Macaca mulatta: one gene and its partners. The main gene of each other region encodes a partner of the protein of the gene in region 3 in a complex. Links are inferred from orthologs where the notes say so. Each region holds a gene or a part of one and is shown on either strand. Other genes may lie near its edges. The genes, in order: SKP1, IREB2 and FBXL5.

Region 1 (4,447 bases), on a different chromosome or scaffold from region 3:
ATTTCTTGGTGATTCTAATAAAGGGGGTTCTCAGACATATTTGGAAAAGCATATACCTACTTTTACGCCAGACCCTGTGCTGGGGCCCCAGGCTAGCTGTATGACCTGACACTGCACAGTCCTGCTTAGGATGCTCAAGGAGAGTTTATAAGGTATCACCCTGCATACCATAGGCAGGGGAGCAAAGGGGCTCCAGTGGGCCCTGCCTAGGAGGCCTGAAGCTGGAGCTGCTGAGGGCAGGGCTGTGCTGCTGAGAAAATATCTGAGAGCTGCAGGCGTTTCATCTTCTGTCATCAGCTGTGGCACCTGGCAGACACTGGATACCACAGCTTGTAGACAAAGACCTGGTAACTCAAGAAGCTGCTTGGCATTCCTGCCCAGTCCCATCCCAGAGGCACTGTACGTCTCCGGTTTCTTCAGGGGGCCCTGTGTGGAAGTATCTTTTGTCTTCCTGTGTCAGGGATACCATCACGTGCCTATTGGCTAGACGAGCCCGGCGCCCAGTCTCCTAGGACAGGGAGAATAACGTTCCCGAGCAGAGCGGGGTGGGGCTTTCAGACTACTCCCGTTCCTTTACTGCAGGCTTCATTCCATCGACCTCATCACAGCCTTCCTGGGAGCACCCCAGACAAGAGTTCTGTCCAGGCCGGGCCCTGGCTGCCTGGTTCACTGCCGAATCCCCAGCACCACGCCTCGCATGTCGGGCTCAGAGCATGTTTAGTGAAGGAATGGGTACCTATTGCTAGATGGAAGCCATCTCTCTAGATTTGGGGTTTCCCTACGACGATGGCTATTTTTGGCACGGAAGCCTCTTTAGAAGTCAATAGTAGGAAATAAGGGCTAACGGCACCTAACTGTGGAGTAATGTTCAAATCCTGGCTCTGCCACTTAACCGTTCCGAACCTGTTCCCTCACTGCAGAGGCGAAAAGGCTAACACTATTTCACCTCGGAGGGTTACTGTGGAGAATGGAGGCTGGACAAGCTGTATCAGTTCAGTAGTAAAACACACACACACAAGCGCCCCCCCATCCCCACCCCAGGAATGAACACACACACACCCGCGCGCGCACACACATACACCTCAGGAATGAACACACGCGCGTACACACACACGCAGCCCCTCCCAGGAATGAACACACACACACACGCGCGCGCGCCCCGTTCTGTTGTTCCCAGGAACACACACATAGGCGCACACACGCCCCGTTTTGTTTTTTCCAGGCCGTTTAGCTGGGGTATTTTACTCGGCTTAGGGCGCCCCTGCCTGAAAGACCTTTCTAGGCCAGTCAGGGTTCGGCACCCAGTTGATGAGAGAGCGCGGCGCTTTCAGAGCTAGGGAAAGGCGAAAGCTCTCCCGTTCCCCAACCCCCCGGCCAGCCGCCCCGGCAGCTCCTCGTCGCCTCCCGGCCTGGGCCCGCCCCGCCGTCTTCGGCCTGCCGTCAGGCGATCTCGGCGGCCAGCCCAGCCGCTGTGTGACGCCGCGCGCCCCGGGGTCCTCGGCGCCTGCGCCCTCTCCTATAAAGCAGACGCCGCGCCGCGCCGAGAGGCTGTAGTGGCTTCGTCCTCCGCTTTTCTGTTCCTCCGCTGACGTCTCCTAGCTCTCGTCAGCCTCCCGCCGGCAGTCTCCTTAACACCGAACACCGTGAGTAGCCGCCCACTGAGCTGGAAAGGGTCGTGGCTCCCGGATTGCATGCAGGCTGGCCTCACTGCTGCGGTTTGGGCCTGCCCGCGGCGGGCGGTGACTGGGCCTGGCCTTCTTTCGGGCCCGGTGGATCGTGTTGTCGACCCCGTTCTTCGGGAGACACCATCAGGTCTCGTCCACCCTCTCCGCCCCCGATTCAGCGAGGCCTGCTCTGGCCGCGCGTCCTCACAGCGCTCCATAAGTGTGAGCCGAACCCCGGGCTGGGCTTTCTCTGCACCGGCCGAGCGTCAGCCGGCGCAGGCTCGGCTGCAAGGCCCAGGCTATGGCCGGGGGCCTCTCTTGGCCTTAAGCCTGCTGTCCCGGGGACTAGGGCGGGGGTGGCGGCGGGGTTGTGAATGGGGGTCCCTTGGCTGTCGTGAGCATGGGCGTGTGTCGGTGTCTGGCTTTTGTTGTGGTCGGGAGGGAGAGCTGCGGTGGTGGTCTGAGGCCGCCCGGTTCTTGGCTGCCATCCTTTCTCCCCCGTGTCTGGCGTCACTAGCTACCCGTCGGTCCTGGCTAACTGTGTGCGGGCGCCGAGTTTCTGCACATAGCCGCCTGTTCCTTGTAAATATTTCTTCGCGTTGTTTTGCTATGACTTGGAGTCGTTGAAATAACTATTGTGATAGCAGATACCATCTTCAGAGTGGTGTGACTTGTAAGAGCTGTGTATAACTTAACTCGAAGTGTCTGGCTTTTAAAGAAATAGGATGTCCAGCTGCTTTGGTTCACTTTTAGTGGGAACTTCACGTTTGGGTTTTAGGAACATGCATTTTTCCATTAGAGCGTCACAATAGAATGTATCTGTGTCATAGAACAATAGTCTCCTCCACTGTGCAGTCTAAAAAGCAGTGGCAGAATTTCGGGTCACTTAAAACGCAGGGGTTTTTTTCCCTTTATGATGTGATAGAACCCACTTTATGCTGGCCATGGAGAATTATTTACAAGTGCAGGAGCCTTTAGGCCTCTTTCTTTAGAATGGAATTGTTTTGAAAACATTTCAAATCAAAATTTCATCCATTATTACTTAAAAATTTTGCACTTTATTCTACTGTAACACTAAAACTTATCTTTTAGTTTAGTATTACCAAGTGCATCGAATTACAGATTTAACCGATTACCTACCTGCTATTTAGTAAGATCTCAACTCCCTTAAGAGTAACCCAATCCACGAATTTGACTATGACTAAGCACTTGAGTTATTTGAAAGAAATATGAAACGGTCGTCTTGCTTTTAGAGTAATTTTATCAACTGCATTGTTAGACTTGTGATTCTGCACTGTTCATTTCAGTACTATCTGATATAAAAATTACATGTTTAAATGTTTTATAATTAAAAATTGGACTCACGTTAAAATATTTTCTTTTGGAGATACCTTTTATTGTTGTCTTGTCACAGGAAGGGTCCTCTACTCTGGGTCCTTCTTCATTGAGCAGGGACAACGGCATTATTGGCAAGCGCTAAGCAACATGGAGAAGCAGACATGTTTGTGAATTGCAAAGTGAAATCTGATTCTCTCCAACCATGGATGAGTGAGAGTAGGATATTTCAGTGGCTGGTTTTAAAACACGCTTTACTTTTTTGCTTCCTTTGCCTAAGAACCTGTTTGCTTTGGGGTTGCGGACAATTGTCTCAGAGAAGCTGAATGAATATTTTAACCGATGTAATGGGTCATAAGTCTTTGAACATAAAATGGGTGTGATGCATGTTTTAAATGCCAAATGATACACTTTTGTGAAAATATATGCGATTTTTAATACAACACACCTAGAAAACTTCAGAGGTACCATAAGTTAATAGTGACATCATTGGATTATGAATACTTGAGAAGCATGGGCCTTTTAAAAGTTGTATGTGAATTTTAAGAGGCCTTGAATTAATCTGTACCAGGTATTGCTACTCTTTTTGTTGTTGTTTTTCTTTTATGTATGTTTTCTTTTTTAAAAAAAGAATTTGAAGATGGTAAGAAATTGTTGGACTTTTAATTTTAAATTCCTTTTTTTTTTTTTTTGCCAGAACTCAAGTCCTTTGGAATTAATTGCTTAACTTTTTTTTTTGACACGGAGTCTTGCTCTGCCACCCAGGCTGGAGTACAGCGGCGCGGTCTCGGCTCACTGTAAGCTCTGCTTCCTGGGTTCATGCCATTCTCCTGCCTCAGCCTCCCAAGTAGCTGGGACTACAGGCGCCCGCCACCACGCCCGGCTAATTTTTTGTATTTTTGGTAGAGACGGGGTTTCACCATGTTAGCCAGGATGGTCTCGATCTCCTGACCTCGTGATCCACCTGCCTCGGCCTCCCAAAGTGCTGGGATTATAGGCGTGAGCCACCACGCCTGGCCTAATTGCCTAACTTTTTATGTAAGATTATCTTTTTCCTAGTGACTCATAATTACTCTGAGTTAATAAATGCATTTTCAGAGCAAGTAATAGGTTATTATTATGGAGCTCTTGACAAGAGATCTCAAAGTTGGTCAGTTGGACAGTCAGTACTGAAAGATAAAAAGCGCTCTGAAATGAAGCTTCTTACTAGATTTAGGGAATTGTACTCACATCTGCTTATCTTTAAATCATTTTATTCTTGTGTATATGGTCTTGCATTGCCTCAGACATAAATCAGCATATTCTCATTTACTCTCTGGATCTGAACTTATCTTCACAGGTAGGTCTCACTGTGGGGAAAATTTCTGTCTTATTTGGTAGCCTTGTTTATTTTGGACTGACCTTCCTTAGGTTTGCATGTAGTTAATTGTGGCAGTTAACTGCTCAAA
Region 2 (3,648 bases), on a different chromosome or scaffold from region 3:
TGAGACCAGCCTGAGCATCTTTATTTTTTATTTTACAAAAAATAAAAAAATTAGCTGGGCCTGAGCGCCTGTGGCCCCAGTTACTCGGGAGGCTGAGGAGCAGGATTGTTTGAGTCCAGGAGGTTAAGGCTGCAGTGAGCTGGTTCAGGCCACTGCACTCCAGCCTGGGTGACAGAGTGGGGCGCCATCTCCCAAGAAACACCAAAAAATAAATAATAATTTTTTAAAATTGCATAATTTATATAACTATTCTCTTTACAGCTTATTTGCCTCTCCCCAGGAGAATTCTGGGTTTTGTTCACTGATGTATTCTGAACACCTAATCAATTCTTTCTTTTCCCCCTCAACTTTTATTTTAACTTCTGGGGTACATATGCAGGATATGCAGGTTTGTTACACAGGTAAATGTGTGCCACGATGGTTTGCTGCACGGATCATCCAATCAACACTAATCAATTCTGATACTCTAAGACATTTTCTTTCCTTTTTTTTTTGAGATGGAGCTTTGCTCTTGTTGCCCAGGTTGTAGTGCAATGGCACGATTTCGGATCACCGCAACCTCTGCCTCCCGGGTTCAAGCGATTCTCCTGCCTCAGCCTCCTGAATAGCTGGGATTACAGGCATGTGCCACCACACCTGGCTAATTTTTTTGTATTTTTAGTGGAGATGGGGTTTCTCCATGTTGGTCAGGCTGGTCTTGAGCTCCTGACCTCAGGTGATCCACCTGCCTTGGCCTCCCAAAGTGCTGGGATTACAGACGTGAGCCACTGTGTCCAGCCGCCATTTGCTTTTTAATTATAGATTCCAGATACAAACTATTACACATTGAAAACCGCATTCAAAATAACGTAATTTTAATTTTTATTCTAGTCAGAAAACAAGATATATGAAATAAAAGAACACTGCAAATTGATTAAACTATTTAAGAAACACATAAGACTCTTACTTCTATTTTATCTTTTAATGCTTTAAACATGGATAGTATAACATGTTCTTCCTCTACTCGATGAACTTCTTCTCGACTAGGCCAAATATCATGCAGGTAAATGTTCTTGCCGGTGGAGTCAGTACCTGGTTAAAATTTTTGAACATGACACTCAGTAAAAAAATAACTCTCTGAAAATGTTCATACCTTTTCAAAGACATATTATGGACATCAAGTAAATGATTCAACTGGGTGCTTCAGGCTTAAGCGGCTGGAAGAACTAATTACCTGCACATTTTATTTTCTTCACATAAACACAGAAATTAATAACTATACATTATCATAAGTTTTCCTGAAATAATTCAAAGAATAGATGGTCTAAGAAACATTTCAAAAATATAATGACTTCTATGGGGAAACATATGTATAGGTATACATATACATAAAGGAAAAGATACCTAAAGGTTCTGTCTGGAAATCTATATTCACTGTGCCTGCTATGGCATAAGCTACCACTAACGGTGGAGAGGCAAGATAATTGGCACGAACACAATCACAAAGACGACCTTCAAAATTTTTGTTTCCAGATAAAATTCCACAGGTAACCAAATCACCCTGGAAAAAAAACACAAACACACAAACATACATATTCAATTCTAGAGATGGTACAAATTTGGATAATCATATATAACCAATCTTAAAGTCTGAGGGCGAGATTAACCAAAAAACATATTACTAACTTTTAAATACAGAACTATCCATCTTGCGAATAAACTAAATCAATTCCTTATATTATGAAGGAATTATTTCAAGGATCTACAAATGAGTCTTTCAATCATTTAAACATTCACAGGTTGCAACTGCCAAGAGGTGCAGAGTTTACAGAAATATAAACACATCAATATATATTTTCTATAATTTAATAACAAAACATAGTTAAGAAAACCATTTAGATGGCTTGCCGATCCACACATTTTACCTGTTTTACCGCATTTAAAACTGCTTCTGATAAGGGGGCTGTATTTCCCACACAAGTTGAACATCCATAACCAACGATTTCAAATCTGCATTTCAAAAAATAAATGTGACTGAATAGCACATCACAATATTTATAGAGAAAAGATAAGTCTTATCTTGTATTTCTATCCCTGTAATAAGATTACTTAAAAGACTATTCATGACACATGGATTAACCTTCATCAATATATTCACTTCACAACATTCTGAGCAATCAAGTCTAACTCTCAGGCATGCTATTTGAACAAATTCACTGCAGCCTTAACCTCCTGGGCTCAAGCAATTCTGCTCCTCAGCCTCCTGAGTAGCTGGGGCCACAGGCGCTCGCCACCAGGCCCAGCTACTTTTTTTGTAAAATAAAAAATAAAAATGCTCAGGCGGGTCTCAAAGCTGAATGCAAATCTTTGAAGAGCCTTAACAGCACTTATCAATGCACAAGATAATTCCCCCAAATACTACTTGCTAGGAATATAACATGACCTTTTAAAATAATTGATTCTGTACTTCCATCCAAGGGTTTAAAATGTAAAGAGGACCTGGCTATAATAACCTGACCAAAGGTCCCAAAAGAGGCACTGTAACTGGGCACTCTGATAGGAGTAATCTCTTAATTATCAACCAGTTAAACCCAAGAAGAGTCCCTGACAATAAATCCAAGATGATACAACTAAAAGATTACAGGCACCGTCCTCTAAATTACTTTCAGATGCTATTCTAAAAGCAAAAAAATCGAAAATTTATCCATTTTGCAAAGGAACTGATGACTCATATGTTCCAAAACAGACACTGAAAATACAGCTAGGCTGGATGTGGTGGCTCAGGCCTGTAATCCGATCTGAGATGAGCGGATCACTTGAGGCAACGAGGTTGAGTCAAGCCTGGCCAACATGGCGAAACTGTTTCTACTAAAAATATAAAAATTAGCTGGGTGTGGTGGTGTACACCTGTGGTCCCAGCTACTCAGGAGGGTGAGGTAGGAAGACTGCTTGAGCCTAGGAGGTCGAGGCTGCAATGAGCTGTGACTGCACCACTGCACTCCAGTGTGGGCAACAGAGCAAGACACTGTCTCAAAACCAAACAATTCCTGCACAACTAGCATCAATTGTTTTGGATTACATAAAAAACGTATGTAATTTTTTTTTTTGAGATGGAGTCTCGCTCTCTTGCCCAGACTGGAGTACAGTGGCATGATCTCGGCTCACTGCAACCTCTGCTTCCCGGGTTAAAGCAATTTTTCTGCCTCAGCCTCCTGAGTAGCTGGGACTAGAGGTGTGCATCACCATGCCTGGCTAATTTTGGTATTTTTAGTAGAGACGGAGCTTTACCATATTGGCCAGGCTGGTCTCAAACTCCTGGCCTCGTGATTCACCTGCCTCGGCCTCCCAAAGTGCTGGGATTACAGGCGTGAGCAACCGCGCCCAGCCCAAAAATCGTAAGTTACTTTCTCCAAAGTTCAGGGACAACTTAAACTTATGTATTATAGACCCAATAACCTCATAAAACTAAAATTATGACAATTTTCAGTTAATAAATGCAAACTGTAAGATTTCTTTCTTTTTTGAACTGACCTACACAACTCACAGACATTGTGCATACTTGGTATCTTTTCTTATACTGTAACTGTTATTTGGTTATATTTGTTTGTCTTGTCTTTCCAACTAAGTATCTTGAAGCTAAGACCACATCTCCTACTTCTGTGTATCTGA
Region 3 (3,648 bases):
AAGAACAAAGCTGGAGGCATCATGCTACCTGACTTCAAACTATACTACAAGGCTACAGTAACCAAAACAGCATGGTACTGGTACCAAAACAGAGATATAGACCAATGGAACAGAACAGAGGCCTCAGAAATGACACCACACATCTACAACCATCTGATCTTTGACAAACCTGAGAAAAACAAGAAATAGGGAAAGGATTCCCTATTTAATAAATGGTGCTGGGAAAACTGGCTAGCCATATGTAGAAAGCTGAAACTGGATCCCCCCTTCCTTACACCTTATGCAAAAATTAATTCAAGATGGATTAAAGATTTAGATGTTAGACCTAAAACCGTAAAAACCCTAGAAGAAAACCTAGGCAGTACCATTCAGGACATAGGCATGGGCAAGGACTTCATGTCTAAAACACCGAAAGCAATGGCAACAAAAGCCAAAATTGACAAATGGGATCTCATTAAACTAAAGAGCTTCTGCACAGCAAAAGAAACTACCATCAGAGTGAACAGGCAACCTACAGAATGGGAGAAAATTTTTGCCATCTACCCATCTGACAAAGGGCTAATATCCAGAATCTACAAAGAACTTAAACAAATGTACAAGAAAAAACCCCGTCAAAAAGTCGGCAAAGGATATGAACAGACAGTTCTCAAGAGAAGACATTTATGCAGCCAACAGACACATGAGAAAATGCTCATCATCACTGGTCATCAGAGAAATGCAAATCAAAACCACAAGGAGATACCATTTCACACCAGTTAGAATGGCAATCCTTAAAAAGTCAGGAAACAACAGATGCTGGAGAGGATGTGGAGAAATAGGAACGCTTTTACACTGTTGGTGGGAGTGTAAATTAGTTCAACCATTGTGGAAGACAGTATGGTGATTCCTCAAGGGTCTAGAACTAGAAATACCATTTGACCCAGCGATCCCATTACTGGGTATATACCCAAGGGATTATAAGTCATGCTACTATAAAGACACATGCACACATATGTTTATTGTGGCCCTATTCACAATAGCAAAGACTTGGAACCAATCCAAATGTCCGTCAGTGATATACTGAATTAATAAAATGTGGCACACATACACCATGGAATACTGTGCAGCCATAGAAAAGGATGAGTTCATATTCTTTGCAGGGACATGGATGAAGCTGGAAACCATCAGTCTTAGCAAACTATCACAAGGACAGGAAACCAAACGGTGCATGTTCTCACTCATAGGTGGGAATTGAACAAAGAGAACACTTGGACACAGGGCGGGGAACGTCACGCACTGGGTCCTGTCGGGGGGTGGGGGGCTGGGGGAGGGATAGCATTAAGAGAAATACGTAATGTAAATGATGAGTTGATGGGTGCAGCAAACTAGCATGGCACATATATACCTATGTAACAAACCTGCATGTTGTGCACATGTGCTGTAGAACTTAAAGTATTAAAAAAAAAAACTGCTTATTGCCTAGGGCTCAGATGTTGTCTCTATGTAGAGATTTTTATTGTAAATAGCTTAGTTTTCCATTATTGCAGGCAATCTGATATTATTTTGATCCTTTTACTTGTTTATTCATCGTGTAGGTGACTGGTATAGTGGTCCCGCAACTGAACTTGATACTGAACCTGATGAAGAATGGGTGAAAAATAGGAAAGATGAAAGTCGTGCTTTTCATGAGTGGGATGAAGATGCTGACATAGATGAATCTGGTAAGCTTGTTTGAAATTAAAATTATTACATAGTGTTTTAATAATTATATATTAAGTACTTATAATTAATAAGTACTAATAATTAGGTATTAGATTTATGTAGTTTGTATTTTCTAAAGAAACGTGTTTCTACGCCTACTACTTTTTAAAATTTGAAGGAATAATAATAACATTTTAAATTAATTGTTTGAAGTACTTTAAAGAGTGCATAGGATTATTTCTCTTGTTTTTATATTAAAATAAAAAACCAGAAAATGGTACCATTTTTTCTTATGGAAATAACGTATGTTTATTATAGTGCTTTATAGTTTACAATGTGATTTTAGCGCCACTTCAGATGATCAGTTGTACAGCATCTATTGAGTCATATGTGGCTTGAGGGAAATAGGATGAAACTGTTAAGTTGACTTACTCATTTGTAAATAGTCTTAATATTTGCCTAATGAGGTTATTGTAGAATTAAGAGGTAATATACATAAATATTCTTTGTAAATGGTAAGGGATTACAAAAACTAATGTAGCCATTCATTAAACACTGTGGGAGAGTTCAAGGGTGGATAAGACTTAATCGCCACTCCAAAGAATTCACAAACGAGAGAGAATTTAGAAAACATAATTTTTTTTTTTAAATTTATTTTTTATTATTATTATACTTTAAGTTCTAGGGTACATGTGCATAATGTACAGGTTTGTTACATATGTATACTTGTGCCAAGAAAACATAATTTTTACTTTAAGGTACATGTTGGAAAAATGCTGTCATACTTGTGCAGAGAGATGCTGTTTGAAAGTGTGAGGAGGACGACAAATTCTGTCTTGGATATTCTAGATAATACTTACTAAAAGATGGTAAAATAGTAAAAAATGAACAGATGAGACATTCTTCTAGTTGGTAAAACTGAAACTATAGGAACTTTTTATAAAGTTACCTGCTTAAAGTAGTTTGATCTGGCAAAAGAACTAAATGTGGAAAAAAGAAACATGGAAAGTAACAGTGCAAGTATAAAGATTGTTATATCAGCAGCTAAAGTAGTTTATTTTTATGAAAAGCAGATGCGCTACATTTTGATAAAAAGATTCAAAATGTCATATATAAGGAAAAGGTCTATTCTAGTTATGATAGATTTGGTGATGTGCTTACCTGTGGCAGGCATTGTTTTAGGTATGAAGGATCTAATGGTGAACAAAATGGAAAAAAAAAGAAAAAACTGGCCCTTGTTGAGCTTAAAATTTAGAGACAGGAGGCAGACGATAAATACAGGTAAAATATGTTCCGTATTAGATGGTGACAAGTGTTGTGGAGAAAAATAAAACAAGGAAAACATGCCAAGAAGAATTTAAAATTGTAGTTTTAAATTGAGTGATTAGTTAAAGTCCTTTGAGAAATTTGAGTAAAGACCTGAAGGAAATGAGGTATTTGCTTAGATGTCAACTTAAGGAAGTCTCAGTTTATTCATTCTGGAAAATTAATTCATAATACTTGTGGTAAGAATTTTGAAGGTTCTAACAAATTCAGTATATTTGTCTCAATACTTGAAGATGGAGCAAAGACTGTCAATTTCCTTGATACCGAAAAGGAAAAGTTAAGGGTATAAAGATTGAGCCTTTTTAGATAATGTATCTGTTGATTATTAAAGACTAAACTGCTATTTACTTCAGTGCTTTTTTCAGTTTAGCTGCCTTGTCTTTACTTGTCCTAAGAAGTTATTGTTTTTCATAGAATGTTTAACTTTCTTAAAAAAGATTTCACAGTTCCAATTACCTTGATTTGATCATCACACATTGTATACAGGTATCAAAGTATCACATGTACCCCCAAAATATGTATAATTATTGTATATCAATAAAAAATTAAAAATTTAAAAATTTCATAATAAATAGTGTACCTTTAGATAGTGAGGGCCAAAGTAATTTTTATTTCCTTATATTTTATCTTCGTGTGTGTGTG

Evidence for each region.
Region 1: the proteins of FBXL5 (region 3) and SKP1 are in contact, whole or in part, in a cryo-EM structure (PDB 6VCD), measured with the Homo sapiens proteins. The link is inferred for Macaca mulatta from reciprocal best matches to the Homo sapiens genes FBXL5 and SKP1. Residues at the interface, in NP_036293.1 of Homo sapiens: Ile205, His207, Leu208, Pro209, Val212, Ser215, Ile216, Tyr219, Leu220, Gln223, Glu224, Cys226, Arg227, Cys228, Ser229, Gln230, Val231, Ser232, Met233, Trp235, Ser236, Lys240, Trp245, Arg315, Leu316, Gly319, Leu320, Asn323, Val324, Tyr327; in NP_733779.1 of Homo sapiens: Phe101, Ile104, Leu105, Asn108, Leu116, Asp117, Cys120, Lys121, Val123, Ala124, Ile127, Lys128, Gly129, Lys130, Pro132, Ile135, Arg136, Phe139, Ile141, Asp144, Phe145, Glu149, Val153, Arg154, Glu156, Asn157, Gln158, Trp159, Cys160.
Region 2: the proteins of FBXL5 (region 3) and IREB2 are in contact, whole or in part, in a cryo-EM structure (PDB 6VCD), measured with the Homo sapiens proteins. The link is inferred for Macaca mulatta from reciprocal best matches to the Homo sapiens genes FBXL5 and IREB2. Residues at the interface, in NP_036293.1 of Homo sapiens: Asp656, Glu657, Tyr661, Cys662, Asp663, Asn664, Ile665, His669, Ala670, Asp671, Thr672, Ala673, Ser674, Gly675, Cys676, Gln677, Asn678, Leu679, Gln680, Cys687, Arg688, Ser689, Gly690, Glu691; in NP_004127.2 of Homo sapiens: Asp89, Phe90, Ser129, Asn217, Val220, Glu221, Arg224, Arg228, Ala758, Gly759, Ser760, Arg763, Asn764, Thr777, Pro778, Arg779, Asn782, Ser783, Tyr784, Gly785, Ala786, Arg788.

The regions. Positions count from the first base shown.
Region 1 is NC_133411.1:143,076,019-143,080,465, reverse strand, and holds the start of SKP1 (S-phase kinase-associated protein 1), read left to right. Parts: upstream 1-1,543; 5' UTR 1,544-1,643; exon of another isoform or gene 1,644-1,812; intron 1,813-4,447. UniProt on the Homo sapiens protein: Essential component of the SCF (SKP1-CUL1-F-box protein) ubiquitin ligase complex, which mediates the ubiquitination of proteins involved in cell cycle progression, signal transduction and transcription.
Region 2 is NC_133412.1:56,633,757-56,637,404, reverse strand, and holds part of IREB2 (iron-responsive element-binding protein 2), read right to left. Parts: intron 1,990-3,648; coding exon 1,905-1,989; intron 1,541-1,904; coding exon 1,384-1,540; intron 1,072-1,383; coding exon 947-1,071; intron 1-946. UniProt on the Homo sapiens protein: RNA-binding protein that binds to iron-responsive elements (IRES), which are stem-loop structures found in the 5'-UTR of ferritin, and delta aminolevulinic acid synthase mRNAs, and in the 3'-UTR of transferrin receptor mRNA.
Region 3 is NC_133410.1:14,669,443-14,673,090, reverse strand, and holds part of FBXL5 (F-box/LRR-repeat protein 5), read left to right. Parts: intron 1-1,574; coding exon 1,575-1,700; intron 1,701-3,648.